Linked DNA regions of Oryzias latipes. The protein of the gene in region 2 interacts with the protein of the main gene of each other region in a biochemical or structural test. Links are inferred from orthologs where the notes say so. Each region holds a gene or a part of one and is shown on either strand. Other genes may lie near its edges. The genes, in order: rnf185 and cgas.

Evidence for each region.
Region 1: of the proteins of cgas (region 2) and rnf185, one has a biochemical effect on the other in vitro, tested with the Homo sapiens proteins (2 studies listed by BioGRID). The link is inferred for Oryzias latipes from reciprocal best matches to the Homo sapiens genes CGAS and RNF185.

What each region holds. Positions count from the first base shown.
Region 1 is NC_019870.2:13,775,137-13,782,634, reverse strand, and holds the start of rnf185 (E3 ubiquitin-protein ligase RNF185), read right to left. Parts: upstream 4,025-7,498; 5' UTR 3,951-4,024; exon of another isoform or gene 3,678-3,950; 5' UTR 3,609-3,677; coding exon 3,433-3,608; intron 1,219-3,432; coding exon 1,200-1,218; intron 1,118-1,199; coding exon 1,005-1,117; intron 916-1,004; coding exon 861-915; intron 643-860; coding exon 525-642; intron 448-524; coding exon 350-447; 3' UTR 1-349. Other genes in the region: chemokine-like receptor 1, read right to left, coding at 5,715-6,731. UniProt on the Homo sapiens protein: E3 ubiquitin-protein ligase that regulates selective mitochondrial autophagy by mediating 'Lys-63'-linked polyubiquitination of BNIP1.
Region 2 is NC_019873.2:11,008,929-11,014,741, reverse strand, and holds the end of cgas (cyclic GMP-AMP synthase), read right to left. Parts: intron 2,536-5,813; coding exon 2,196-2,535; 3' UTR 2,048-2,195; downstream 1-2,047. Other genes in the region: probable ATP-dependent RNA helicase DDX43, read left to right, coding at 56-143, 274-441. UniProt on the Homo sapiens protein: Nucleotidyltransferase that catalyzes the formation of cyclic GMP-AMP (2',3'-cGAMP) from ATP and GTP and plays a key role in innate immunity.

The DNA.
Region 1 (7,498 bases), on a different chromosome or scaffold from region 2:
GGGTAGTGACTAAAATCTCTCATTTACAGTATCATGCACAACATTTACAGTCTTTCCTTCAAAACCTGACACTGTCTGTTGCATCTATGAGGGCTGCAGTGAGGAGAAATAATAGGAAGGAATCAAATGGACTTTTTTCTTTATTGGTGCTGCTTTCTTGCATGTGCAGAAAGTGCAAGCATGCATGTTTTTTGAAGAATTTCCAATGACTGGTGGTTGATGTTAAATACTCATGAGTTTTGTAATTTTTGAAAATCTGATGATTACATTTTCATTTTTTGTCTAAGGTAGAAATGCTAAAAAGATCTAAAAAGGCAAATCCGTCACAGTTTATCTTTGTGCGACCTCTTCATGCAATCAGCAGCCAGAACATGATGACCAGGGCGACAAATAGGAAGAGTCGGGATAGAAACTGTTCGTCTGTGTGTTGAGGCGTCCCAGGAGCTGCTGTGTCAAGTAAGAACCCCACAGGTTAGTTTTTTTTAGACTCATGCTACAACACAGAGATCATTCAGGAGAGCTACCTGGGGGAGGCCGACCATCGTTGATGTTGAAGGCCGTGGCGAAAATACCAAACGGGAAGGCGCCGATTCCGAACGACATCTGGAAACCTCCATCGCCGAAGCCGAACCCCTGAAAACCCTGAAAGGAGCGCCGTGACAGCTGAGGGGGTCTGACGGGAAGCTAACGTTGATGCAACAGGTTGTAAAATCCCTGCTCACTCTCACGGGAAGAGCTGCATCTCAGCTGCTAGTGTGTAATGAGACTCCGTGGTTTAGTTAATGGATGAGGCAAGAATCTACACAAACTTATTTGTTATTTTGATGCAATAACACAGACATATTCCTGCTCATACTTACACCGCGGTTCTCTGGCTCAGGCCGTTGTCCTTGAGGTCGAGGGGGGGTTCTTTCTCTGCAAAACAGAGTCCCATGTCTTTTTTTTGTGCTAATAAATTGATAATTTGCTCACATGATTTCTAAAATTCGAGGTTAAATAGCCACCTGGGATCCTGCTGACCCGTGCTCCCCCTCCCATATAAGGGGATGACTTTGTCCCGGCTGATGCCAGCTTTACAAACTGGACACACTTGTCTATTGGGTCGAGTTTCTAACCACTGCGTGAAGACAGGAGGGTTGTTAGAAAGCCAATAAAACCACTTGAGCTTAGTGTTAAGAGAAGAAGACAAAGCTGCTTACCTGATGCAAACACGGCCAACTATAGAAGTTAAAAGAATAGAGATCACATTTCATTCATTAAAATAATAATACAAGCCTGATTAAAGAAGATCTGTACAGAGCATTACACTTAAAATTCCCTTATGTAATTTGCCAAATGTTTATAAAGGACACACGGAAATGTAATTGTGCTATTATTCAAATTATAAAAATTCAAAATGTAACTTTTAGACTTTGATCTTTCTCTAAACTTTAAGACAACCTGGTACTGAATTGGCCCTTTACAAAAAAACATTAAACAGAATAACACATATTTTTTTCTAAAGCTTTATTGTTCCATTGGATCTGCCTTTTTTATACACTACCCAAATGCTGCACGACACAAGACTGAAGTCGCTGAGATAAATAACATATGGAATTTATTTACAGAAAACACAAAAACATTAATTTGAGAAAAAATAGTGGAATTTTAGAAGTTTCTATGCAGCTTAAGACACCCAGGACCTGATTTAAACTTGGAAGTCTATTTCTGGTGAGTCTCTACACTTCGGTATTGTACGCAGATTTACAATGAGGCTTCCTGTTGCTTTCAATTCAATTACATTTTATTTGTACAGCCCAAAATCCCAACAACAGTTATCTCAATGGGCTTCGTACCAGTAATTGTAAAGTAAACATAAAATAAAAGGATCAAAAATATATTGAATTCAATAGGAAAATTTTAAACTGAATCAACTAAACAGATTAAACTAAACAGGGCATCTCTGCCCTCAGACCCCTCCTTCATGGTAAGGAAAAACTCCTAAAACAAACGGACTCCGTAAAAAAAGAAGAACTCTCAGGGGTGTCCACATGAAGGAGGGATCCTCCCCAGGACGGACAGGCGATGTACCAGTTATCTAACTCCAGAACTACAACTTTCAGAGATGCTTCTGAAATATCAGTTTGTTAGCTGCAAGTAGTAACATGACGTTTAGCTAAATTCTTCAGTCGTATGACCAAACCTATTGATTTCTTTATGTTACAAAACAACTTCAGGTCAAAAATCTGAGTTAACCACAGATAAGCTTCATAAACTATTCTACGAAGCTCTATTCACAGTTTAATTGGCTCCCTTGTACTTAAAAACATTGACATTCTTTTAAATACAATCTTATCAGCACGCATAACTCAATAGGAAAACAATATGTTCAAGTTCCTTTTATTTATCATCCTGCAGTTTTTGGAGAATTTCTCATGTGATTAGATTCTCTGGCAAAATATGCAAAAAATTATTATTTTTATCTTGAAAAAAATATGGTTTTAACTATCCTTTTTTTTTTACTTTTCCTGTTCAACAGCTGAGCAAACAGATGAGAGCTGAAGGCCTCTTGTGTCAGACATTACGGTACAACAGGGGGTTATGAATCTTCTAACACACAAGATGAATATTTTAATATACCACTTCGGTAATTTAGACTTAACTTTATTTATATTAAATATATTTGAAACCGTTTTTTGTTGGACCGGACAGAAAAGAAGAAGAGGGAAGAAGAGAGAGGTTTATGTCCTTCTGAGGTGGATGAGGGAATGTAAAAAAAAAAAGAGAGAGAGTGCCCAGTCATCCCCACCCCAAGACCCCGGCTGAAGCAGCAGTGGTAGTCAGGACCCCCAACTCCCGCATGATATAGCAGATAAAGAAAAACTGCCGGCCGGGCAATCACATCTGCCACCCAGGCCAGGGCCAGCAGGATCGCCACAGCCCCCCCCCAATGCCAGACAGCAGGGAGGCAAAGGGGAAAAGAGAGTGCAAGGCCCAGCCCGACCAGAAGAATAGCCCCCCAATAGGAGAGCACCCAAGCCCCAGATGAGCAGCCCACCACCCAGGAGTTCGTTTCTGAGCATCCCCCCACCCAAGGGAGACCCACCCCATGCTCCAGGCAGCCACCCACCCAGCCCATGGGAGGTCCAGGAGAGGGCAAAGCGGGGCCAGGCACCCCTGCCCAGGAGGAGGGCACCCAAAAGAAGTGGGGGTTCCCAAGGACTGTTGATAACATTAACGATCCTAACCCTTACAATTTAATTATACTTTTGAGACCAAAAGGCAACAGAACACAGTTGTATAGCTATATGGGGAATTTTTTTTGGTGTGTTTGCTTTACTGATGTTTACATTCATGTATTTTACTTGTTACACATGCAGAACTACAGTCTCAAACAAATACTAGGAGGAATTTCAACCATGTAAACATAGTAAAGAATAGCTGGTAACTTACCAGAAGAGGTGTCCGCAAAGACTGATCACAGCATCTTTCGCGGTGTCCAGGCAGATGTTACACTCGAAGGTGCTGTCCTGGCTGCCTCCCTCCGCTGCGGCCGAGCTGCTCGATCCCGAAGTTGTGCTTTCAGCCGTGGAGCCAGAGGCTGGGGCTGAGGGGGCAGCCGCGGCCATAATCAAATCTGGATCCTCACAGCCAACACTAACGAACTTGCCTCAAAACTCGCACATATGAAGGCCCCACTGGATAGCAAACGAAGACAATGAGTCACGGAGTTTCAATGAATTTTCGCAGTTGGTCGCTCGGTCCGTTTAATTCCAGGCTAATGCTAGCAAACAAAGCCGTAAAGACGGGTTTTTACCCACTGACGTATACTTTACTACGAAAATAAACAAACAATAAAAAGTACTACAGAAAAACAGTTTAAATTATAAACCAGTCTGATATCTACGTCCAAATTGAATCACAGCGGCAAACCATAAGTTGAAGTTCTGAGTTAGGAAAAATATTCTTACATGATGTGACGTCATATCCGCTGCTTCACAAGCACGCGACAAGTTAGTTCCTGGTCAAAAGAAAGAAGGCGGGGCAGAATATTCACGAAATAGCCAACAACCCTTAATAATTTCTTTAAAACGAACTTTATAGAAAAAAGTTTAAAACTTTTCTTTAAATAACCGAGAAGTTTTTAGCGTGCATACATTTAAAAAAAAATCATAAACGTAATAAAAACCTTGAAGAAATAAACAGGGGCGCAACTACCTAATTTCACATGCGGCCTCATTACCCCCCCCCCCCCCCCCCACGCACACAGACATAAATGCACATTAAAAAAACATCTCATCCACCCCTCCTAAAGCTATCTAAACAACACCTTTATTGTTTAACTGTGTACATCTCATTACTTCTTATCTGATCTTGGAGTATCAGAATATTTTAGTGAGCTATTTACAACCGTGTATTGCCTCAATGATTCCCCAAATTTGTGTGGTGAAGCTCATTCAGAAGGATCTTCTGAGTAAAGCCTGGCCCCGGCTCTCTCCTCTGCACCTCTCTGTTCTTCTCCCTCTTCATCATCAGCTGATCGTCTCTCTTTCTCTCTATCATCATCATCATCTGAACCTCTCTCCTTATTCTTCTCTGTTGGGACTGACTTGTCATGTATGTCTGCACTTGTTTTCCTAAAATAAGTGAACAGGTGGTCAGCAGAAGCTTAAACCAGAATGAGCATCTAGGTTTTTGTGACTTCAATAGTTTAATTATTCCTACCTGAAGTCATTTCTGCTCTCTTGTATATCAGATGCATCACCAACCTCACGTCTGTCTCCTTCACCTCTTGTCTGTGTTCTTCTCCACTAAATCATATGGCCAACCAACAATTATTTCATGTTTAAAATAAATTGAACGTCTTGCTAATGCATGATTTTATTTATTTATTATGAAAACTGCCGTGGGGGCACCCAATCAGTTACGATGTGCTTCTGTTACTGACCATATCATGTAAATATAAGTGCACAAACAGGTGGGAAATTAAAAAATACGGACTATAAATAATTGTAATAACATCGGTTTGGCGCCCCCTTTGGCCGGCGCCCCCATACCAATCATGTGCTGCATACCTACTTTTTGCGCCCCTGGAAATATAGAAAAAATGACAACAGTGATAGTTTTTTTACTAGAATATACAGCAAAAAAACATGGTTTCAATTTTAACTGTTAATCAAAAAAGACAAATTTGTGTAGTGTAATGTGTAACTCAAGAATGAAACAGAAAAAGTTTTTAAATGTAGTTTTTATCAATCTGTATTGCTCTAAAACAATTAATTTCACCTGAACAAAACTTTACATTCAAATTTGTATTCACATTTTTTTTACATTTATTTTTTCAAAGTCATAAAGCAGCTTTTTTGTACACTTTAAACATTTTTTTGTATATATTTAAAAAATAAAAACACAATTTATCACAGTTTTTTCTTTATGTCTCAATTTGACTGTTTTCATCAAGGGAAAAAAAACGTTTTTATTCATCTTTAGTTATATTTCAATTTGGTAATCAACCCAAAACAAATGTAAAAATTACCAAAATGTATTGATTTGTTTGTAGCCTTTTTTGTTTATATAGGCAGAACATTCAAGATCTAATAGCAGCAGTCAAGTACAGTGATCAAATGTAATGTTTAGTCCAGTAGAATCGGAATAACAGCAAAGACTCAACTCAAACATATTATTATTATGTCCCTTATTGATGTTGTCACATTAGTATTGATGAGTGCATCAAATTAACATTTGATGATGTCCAGGGACTTGGATCTTGAATTATTAAGGGCAACAGTTCGTAGATCCTCGCCCATGGCTTCCTCAATCTTAGATGTCAAAGATTTCTTCAGGGTTTGCTTGAAGTCGTTACCAATAAAAACGTAGAGAATGGGAGAAACAAAGCTGTTAGCCGAAGCCAAGGTGGCTCCTACTTTCAGTCCAGTTTTAAGTATTTCTAAGTTATAATTCTTAAAGTCCAGCTCCAAGAGGACGAAGGTATGATAAGGCATCCAGCAGCAGAAAAACGACAAGATGAGTGCCACCATAATTTTATAAGGTTTCCTTGACCTGACAGTCAAACCTTTCATCTTAAGACTAAGCACCACGCAGCAGAGGATAATTACTGGAAAAGGAATCAGAAAGCCAAAGACGAATCGACTCAGGGCCACTGCTGTGTGTCTGGAATGGTTCACATAATCTGTGTAGCACTGAGTGACCGAACCGTGGACTGTGACTTGTCGGAAGACGATCGTGGGCAAGGTCAAGAGTGCAGACAGGAGCCACACCAGGATGACCACTCCAGAGGCTTTCCGAACTGTCCGGTGGTTGTGCGCCCACACAGGGAACAACACCAGGACACATCGATCAGCACTGATCAGAACCAACACAAACACACTGCTGTACATGTTGAGAAACAGAGCAGATGAAGTGAGTTTGCACAAGACAACCCCAAAAGGCCAGTTTGAGGTTATGGTGTAGAAAACATCAAAGGGCAAAAAGACACAGAATAAAAGATTTGAAATCGCAAGGGAGGTGTACCAGGTGGTTAAAACTGATCTTTTCATTTTACATCCGCAAACCCAAACCACTAACGAGTTTCCGGCAATCCCAAGAGTGGATATCAGGATGTTAAAGGCCACAAGAAATTGAGTTAGACCAATCTGAGGATCAGCAAAATGGAAGATTTTTGTTGATTTTGAGGTCTCCTCCGTTTCGTTTTGAGGCACATAATCTTCATAATTAGGATAGTCCAGATCCATGGTTGCTTCCCCTGAAAAACGAATTAGCAAAACATTTTTTTCCCATAAACCGTAAATATAAGAAGCAAAGACAGAAAGACATAGAAATACTCACAAGATTCTTTTGATGTTGAAGCCAATGTGAACTCGGGGTTTTTGCGTCTTGCTCCGATACTCAACTTCTCCCTTCTGCTTCCTGATCAGTGTTCCGGTTAAAAATTACCACAAAAATTTCAGGGCTGCCCATGTAAGATCCTGTCTTGCTGCAGTTTTGAACAACAGTGAAGGTAATGAGAAAAAAAGCACAAAAATATAATAATGATAATAATAATAAAAGTCCTGTACTAAATAATGACAATGTATGTTTTATATATTTAAGAAAAGATTTGTTCCTTTTTCTTGGTTTTTGTTGGTAACACTAACAAAATGGTGAAAAATTGTAGTCTACCTTTGAGTTTTGACATATCACATGACGCCAACTGAAAAAAATGTGAATTATTTATGTATTTGTCAGATGTTTGTCTTAGCATTTGCTAACCTTTGGAGGGAAAAGAGTTAGTTCAAAATGACCAGAATTTATTCAATAAATAAAAGAAAACCATAAAAATATATGAATATTTGATGTAACAAAGGTTATGAACTGTATTGAGTAACATTCCCTTCAGTGACAGAAACACAAAGTATGCAGTTCTCCTGATCCACACTTCCCTAAAACCCATGTTTTGGAAACAAAAAAAAAGGGAAATGTTTTGCTGAAATGTTGTTTTTACTTAAATTTAAAATCATAT
Region 2 (5,813 bases):
GTTTCTCATGGCGTTGCATTCGCTGTCTCGTGACGCTAATGCGCGTATATTCCAGGCGATCCGGTGCTGCTGTTACCTTGGTAACGAGGGAAGACTGGAGGATGGCGCCAGAGCTGATTCCCATCTTGGAGCGATCAGGACAAGTCAGAAAACACACAAATGAGAACAAGCCAGTGGCTTTCATTTCAATCAAGCTCATTTGACAGCTTAATCAGTTTTTCTTGTTAATTTATTAGTTTGTAAAAACTCCAAGGGGGTGGGGCTTGTTTGCAGGAAGTGCCTCATGAGCTGGTGCTCATGGCGGAAAGATATGAGAAACACAAGAGAGAGAAGCTGATGTACGGTTCAGGAGGAGGAGGTTATGGAGGAAGAAGAGATGGAGGAAGAAGAGATGGTGGAAGGGGAAGCAGAAGAGACCAAGCTCAGAGCTGGAAGTTCTAATGCTCTACATTTGTATGTCATAAAGAAACCTTTAGCTCTCCTCTATTCAATAATACAATACAATTGAATTTTCATTTTCTTATCTTCTTCACAGGCTCAAGTGATCAGAAACTTCCAGTCGTCTCATGTTTTATAAAAAAAGTTTGTTTTTGCTGTTCTTTTGTTTAGTTTTTGTCAATTCATTATTTTGTTCTAAGAGAGGTTGTTTTTTGATTAAGGATTTGCTGTTTCAGCAGCATGCATTCTTCTAAATAAATGGTTTTTCTCTGATTTTCTCGTCTCATTAAAGCATTGGCACTCAGCAGCATGGTGCTGGCAGGAGGAAACGTCTTTCACTCTGTCAGGATTTCTCTTTGCAGGAGGCCTGTGCGTGTTAGGCTACAAAAACCAAAATAGGAGTTTGCAGCAACTTCTGGAAAAACAACAAGGTACGACAGTTTTCAATCATCCTTGTAATGTAGTAGTATTAAAAGTATCTTTAGTTTTGCTACTTTTAGCCATTTTGTTGTTTTCTGTTAGTAAATCCACCTAGAGGTTCCCTGCCAAGTGTTTGAAAGCAAAGGAAGCTCAAATATGAAATGTAGTTTTCTGGCTGCTGAGTTCATATGTAAGCTAAGTCTCTACACATAGTCACAGTGCTCCAGTTAAGCACAATTAACTACTTTGGTAACATGACCCTAAATGTGATCATAACTCATCACATGTTAAGTTTCAACTGCAGATCAAGTGGTTTGTATTGATGAATCGGATAAGGAGCCTTTTCAAGTTCCATTAAAGACCCACTTTACGTTTCTGGTGTTTTTTTTTACATGTTCTTGTAGCATTGGTCCAATGACAGAAGACATTTTTAAAGAAATTTTAGACCTATAATTGTTTTTCTGGGTATTTCTCGATTCAAATTTGGTGAATCAGGAGCAGACGCAAAAATTCAGTTTGAAGAAGAGCTCATTTGTGACAGAAAATGCTCCGCTCCCTTCTGATGCATTTGCTTGCAGAAAAATAGATAAGTTGTTTTCCTTTTCTGAGCTTGCATTTGGCTCAAAAATGGACGACTGGATGGCTCCGATATTGGTTGCACCGCTAATGCTAAGTTGGTTGCGGGTTGCTCTACACAAATAGTCCTGGCCACAAGTCAGAGGTGAATTTTTAATGAACTCATGCTGCTCTACAGAAACTATGTCTTGGAAAATGACAGTTTTTTTTATATTGGCTATAATTATATTTAAAAGACCACTGGAAATGTCTTTAAAATAGATCAAAAGATGATTGAAGTCGGACTTTGACGCCAAGTCTATTAGCTTTTTATTCTACTTCACACTTTGCTCTATTTATTATTTATTTTTAAAGCTGTTTAATGTGGCAATGATTGATGTCCATCTTTTAGAACAACCCCAGCTTTTTAACAAGTATTTTAATTACAGAATAACTGCACATTATCCCAAAACTGTCCAAAAACTAGATTTTAAGTAGAAAAGTTTGTCATTTTTAAAATCACAAATATTGAAATCAAACTGTTAAAGATCAAAGTGTTCTAGAGAATGAGACAGGTTTGTTGATTTTGGCTAAAAAATATCATAATTAAATGACCACTGGGAACAAAACATGATCAGAGTGGGACTTTGAATTTTAATGTACAGCAATGAAAAGCTTTTACACAAAAGTTTTATTTCATTTTATCCTTTTACATGTTTAAATGTTTACATGAACTTTGAACACTAAATGTAGTGCTGAAAACAAAACTTGATTGACTTCATTTAAAGCCCTGCGGCAAAAATTGGAAACCCGTTCAATAGTTGCTCCTCTATCTGCTTGGCAAGGTCATTTAAAGTTTTCTTTGTTATGCCGGAAAGCAGGTTTTGGCCGGGAACAAAGAAGTTCTGGAGCTTCCCAGCTTCCAGGTGGCCTTGAAAGTCCAGCAGGAGTTGCTTAAAGCAGCCAAGGAGCTCTGAGGCTTTCCAGTCGTCGTCTTTGTTGCGGGCGCAGCAGGCGTGCAGTAGCGTTGTCTTGGCGTGATAGGAACAGACATCCTTCAGGGAAGGGTCGTGCTCTTTCAGGAGATGCAAAAGATGTTTCAGGAGCTTCAGACAGTCTTTCCTGAGTGAACACATGACGAAAGAAGCTTTCAGTGAGGACTGTCAGAGTATTGTGAGCACAGGGATTTGATTTCTTAGGAGTAGTTGGCATTTTGTGATTCCTATTGACATTTCATAACCACCAAATAAATATTGTAAAATACATGAAAATACAAAAATTTTACATGTAAAATGCATCTAGACATGTTTGAATGTTTAGCTTTGAAAAGAACTTTATGGTTCTATTTTTGTTTTATCATCTTGGAAGAGCCTCCATCTAATCCTCTCTGTGTCGTCATTCAAACCAAGCCTCCTCATATCCTCTCCTATATCCATGATCTTCTCCTTTGTCCTTCCTATAGACCTGTTTCCTGCTATCTCCAACCTCAGCATGCAACCCCAACATCATCACTGTTCCTCCTCCCAATGTCACCAAACCAGAGATCAACTGATGTCCCCCTAGTACAGACCATCACAATCTGCTTCCCTGCATCTGTATCCAAAACATCTACCATAATCTCTTTCTCTGATGGATTAATTCCTGATCCTATCCAACCATGCCACTCAACATCTTAATCTCTGCTACTTCCAGCTCTGCCTCCTTTCTTTCCTCAAAGTCTCAAAACCAACAACATGATTGCTTTTACCACAGTCTTCTGCACATTTCTTTTGTGACAGGATAAATTGAGTTCACCTGCAGAGCAGGTGCTGCCAATATCCTGCGTGTTGATTGGTTGGTGCTGCATGGTACCTGGCCTACCGTGCCAAACTTCACCAGTAAGTTCTTCAGAATCAAAAAGTCACTCACAAACAAATTATTTTTACTCTGACTTCACTCTCAGCCACAGACCAGCTGAGAGTGATCGCCACATTTATTTAGACACACGATATCATCGTCCATCGTGAAGGCTGACTGGCATCTGGAGAGACACGTTTGTGATGCCACGCCCCCGCCACGCTGCGAGTCGACACCATAAGCCACGGGTACATGTGCAAAATATCTTGAACGGATCAATGGTCTGATTAGAATTCAACCATGAGCATGTGCCCAGAAAAATGTTTTCCGATTAGAACAAACGTTCACACGGTCGCTCGGGCCACCGGTCCACTTGACTAATCAAGTGCAGGAGTGGACTACTTCTTTTCTATTTTGTTTATTTTTTTTGTTAAAGTCACTTCCCTCAGTTTATACTTCACATTATTTCTTCCTCACGGATGAGTCATTAGTTAGGAAATAAAATAAAGTAAAATTATGAATAGTAATTATATAATAATGAAAAATTACTAATTAATTATTACTGCCAAATTAAGGGACATCGCCCAACCCTAGTTGAAAGTGTGCTGCTCTGATCTTCCGCCTATTCCCCACAGGGTTGTGTCGCACCCTGCCTTAATCCGCCCTGCCAGCGGTGCATTCTGCCTGCATTGTTCTGAATTTAGTCGTCTCCGCCTGCATTGAAGACTGCTGCTTCTCCCACCACCAGCCCTTGGAAATGCAGTCACCTTCCTTTGACCGGTTGCTTTACTGCAGTGAGTGGGTGTGGTTCAGCACTGTTGGGAGTTTCCACCAACTTGAAATTCCACGTTGAACTCCTCTGTCACATCTACAGCACATCTAACTACTACCGCTGTCAGCTTTCATGTCTTGCACAACTCCGACGTTGTTTTCTGTCACTCCAGACTTCCTCATTCAAAGCTCAGCTTCTCTCTGTTTCTGTCATAGACTTTCACTGGATCTACAAAGACACAATGCAGCTTTTTCTTACCTTTTCTGTTCTTCTCCAGCTTCATCCTCAAAGCAAATATTGCATCTGTGGTTCTCTCCTTGCCATGCAACGATAAGTCTGGCCTCAGTCTAGCTGCCACTACTCTTTCCTATAACTTCATTGGGATTCATCAGCTTTATTCCTCTGTATTTTTCACAGTTCTGCACTTCTCACTTCTTCAAAATTGGCAGCAGGATGCTTCTCCTTCTTTCCTCAGGCATCCTCTGATTCTCCAAAGTCTTGTTAAACAATCAGGTCAGAAACTCTACTGCCACCTCTCCCAAACTGTTTCCTCCATACCTCCACAGGTATTTTGTCAGACCCAACTGCCTTTCCAAAGATTTTCATCATCTGGATTGTTTTCCTCATGTCAGCCTTACTGATCTTTGCTACTTCTTGTTCCACAGTTTCCTGATTCATTTGTTCTTCGAAGTTATCCTTCCATCTTTCCATCTCACTTGTGGAACTGGTTAACACATTTCCATGCCTGTTTTTGATGACCTTTAACAGCTTTAAATCCTTCCATTTCTGTTTAACTGGCTAGACCAGTACAGAACCACATCTTCAAGTCCTCATCCACCCTTTGGTTAGTATTTGCCACCTCAACCTTGTGCTGCATTTCACTGTACTCCTAACTGTTGTCTTCTTGGTGTCACCCTTTTTGTTCGCAAACCTTTTTCTCTTAACACTCCCAAACGTCCTTGGTGTGTCATGTCCTTGGTGAATGAAAAAAGCTAAGTATTTTCTTCCCAGTCATCTGGGAGAACCTCCTGATCTCCTGAAGTTTGTTTCAGTTCCTCTCCAAAAATCCCTCAGCACTCTTGCTTTTTCCACTATCACCGCTTGGTCCTCTGCTCTGTCTTTGTCATCTTCCTCACTACAGGTCATCCTGACACCACAGTCTTATTACTATCAGCTACACTCTTCCAAACCACAACTTTTGCTGATCTCTTTCAGATTTCAACATCTGCACAAGCTACAATCAGTGTTTGAGCCTCTTCCTCCATTCTTAACAGGTGTTCCTCTCTTTTCAGTAAAAAAAAAAAAAGAGTTCACCATTGTCATTATTATTTGTTAAGCAATTCTTGCCAAACTCCCCATCAAAAGTACTGCATTTTTCCTTCCATCCACTCCACGATAAAATAGCCTGAACCTCTATGCATAATTTGTGCTCCTTCTTTATCTGGTCTCTTGAACACACAGAACATACACCGTTCATCTTTTATTCATGAGCTCCAGTTTTCTCTGTCGAAGTTCTTGCAGTCAAAGTTTCTATTGAGTCTGACATTCTTGTCTTTCGGTTTCTGTTTCTGCCTATAGACACGCCTTTCACATCTGCTTCTTCCACCAACAGGGATCCAGTTTCCACTAACACTCAGTGGCTCTTCAGCACCGGTGGAAGATGTAGTTAACTTGCACCACATCTGATCTGCTATGGATGTTCAGTTTGTAATTTCCATGATCAAGTTGACTTTGGTTTGACACACAAACCTCTGCATTTAGTTGGACTTGGGACCAGCAAAGAAAAATACTG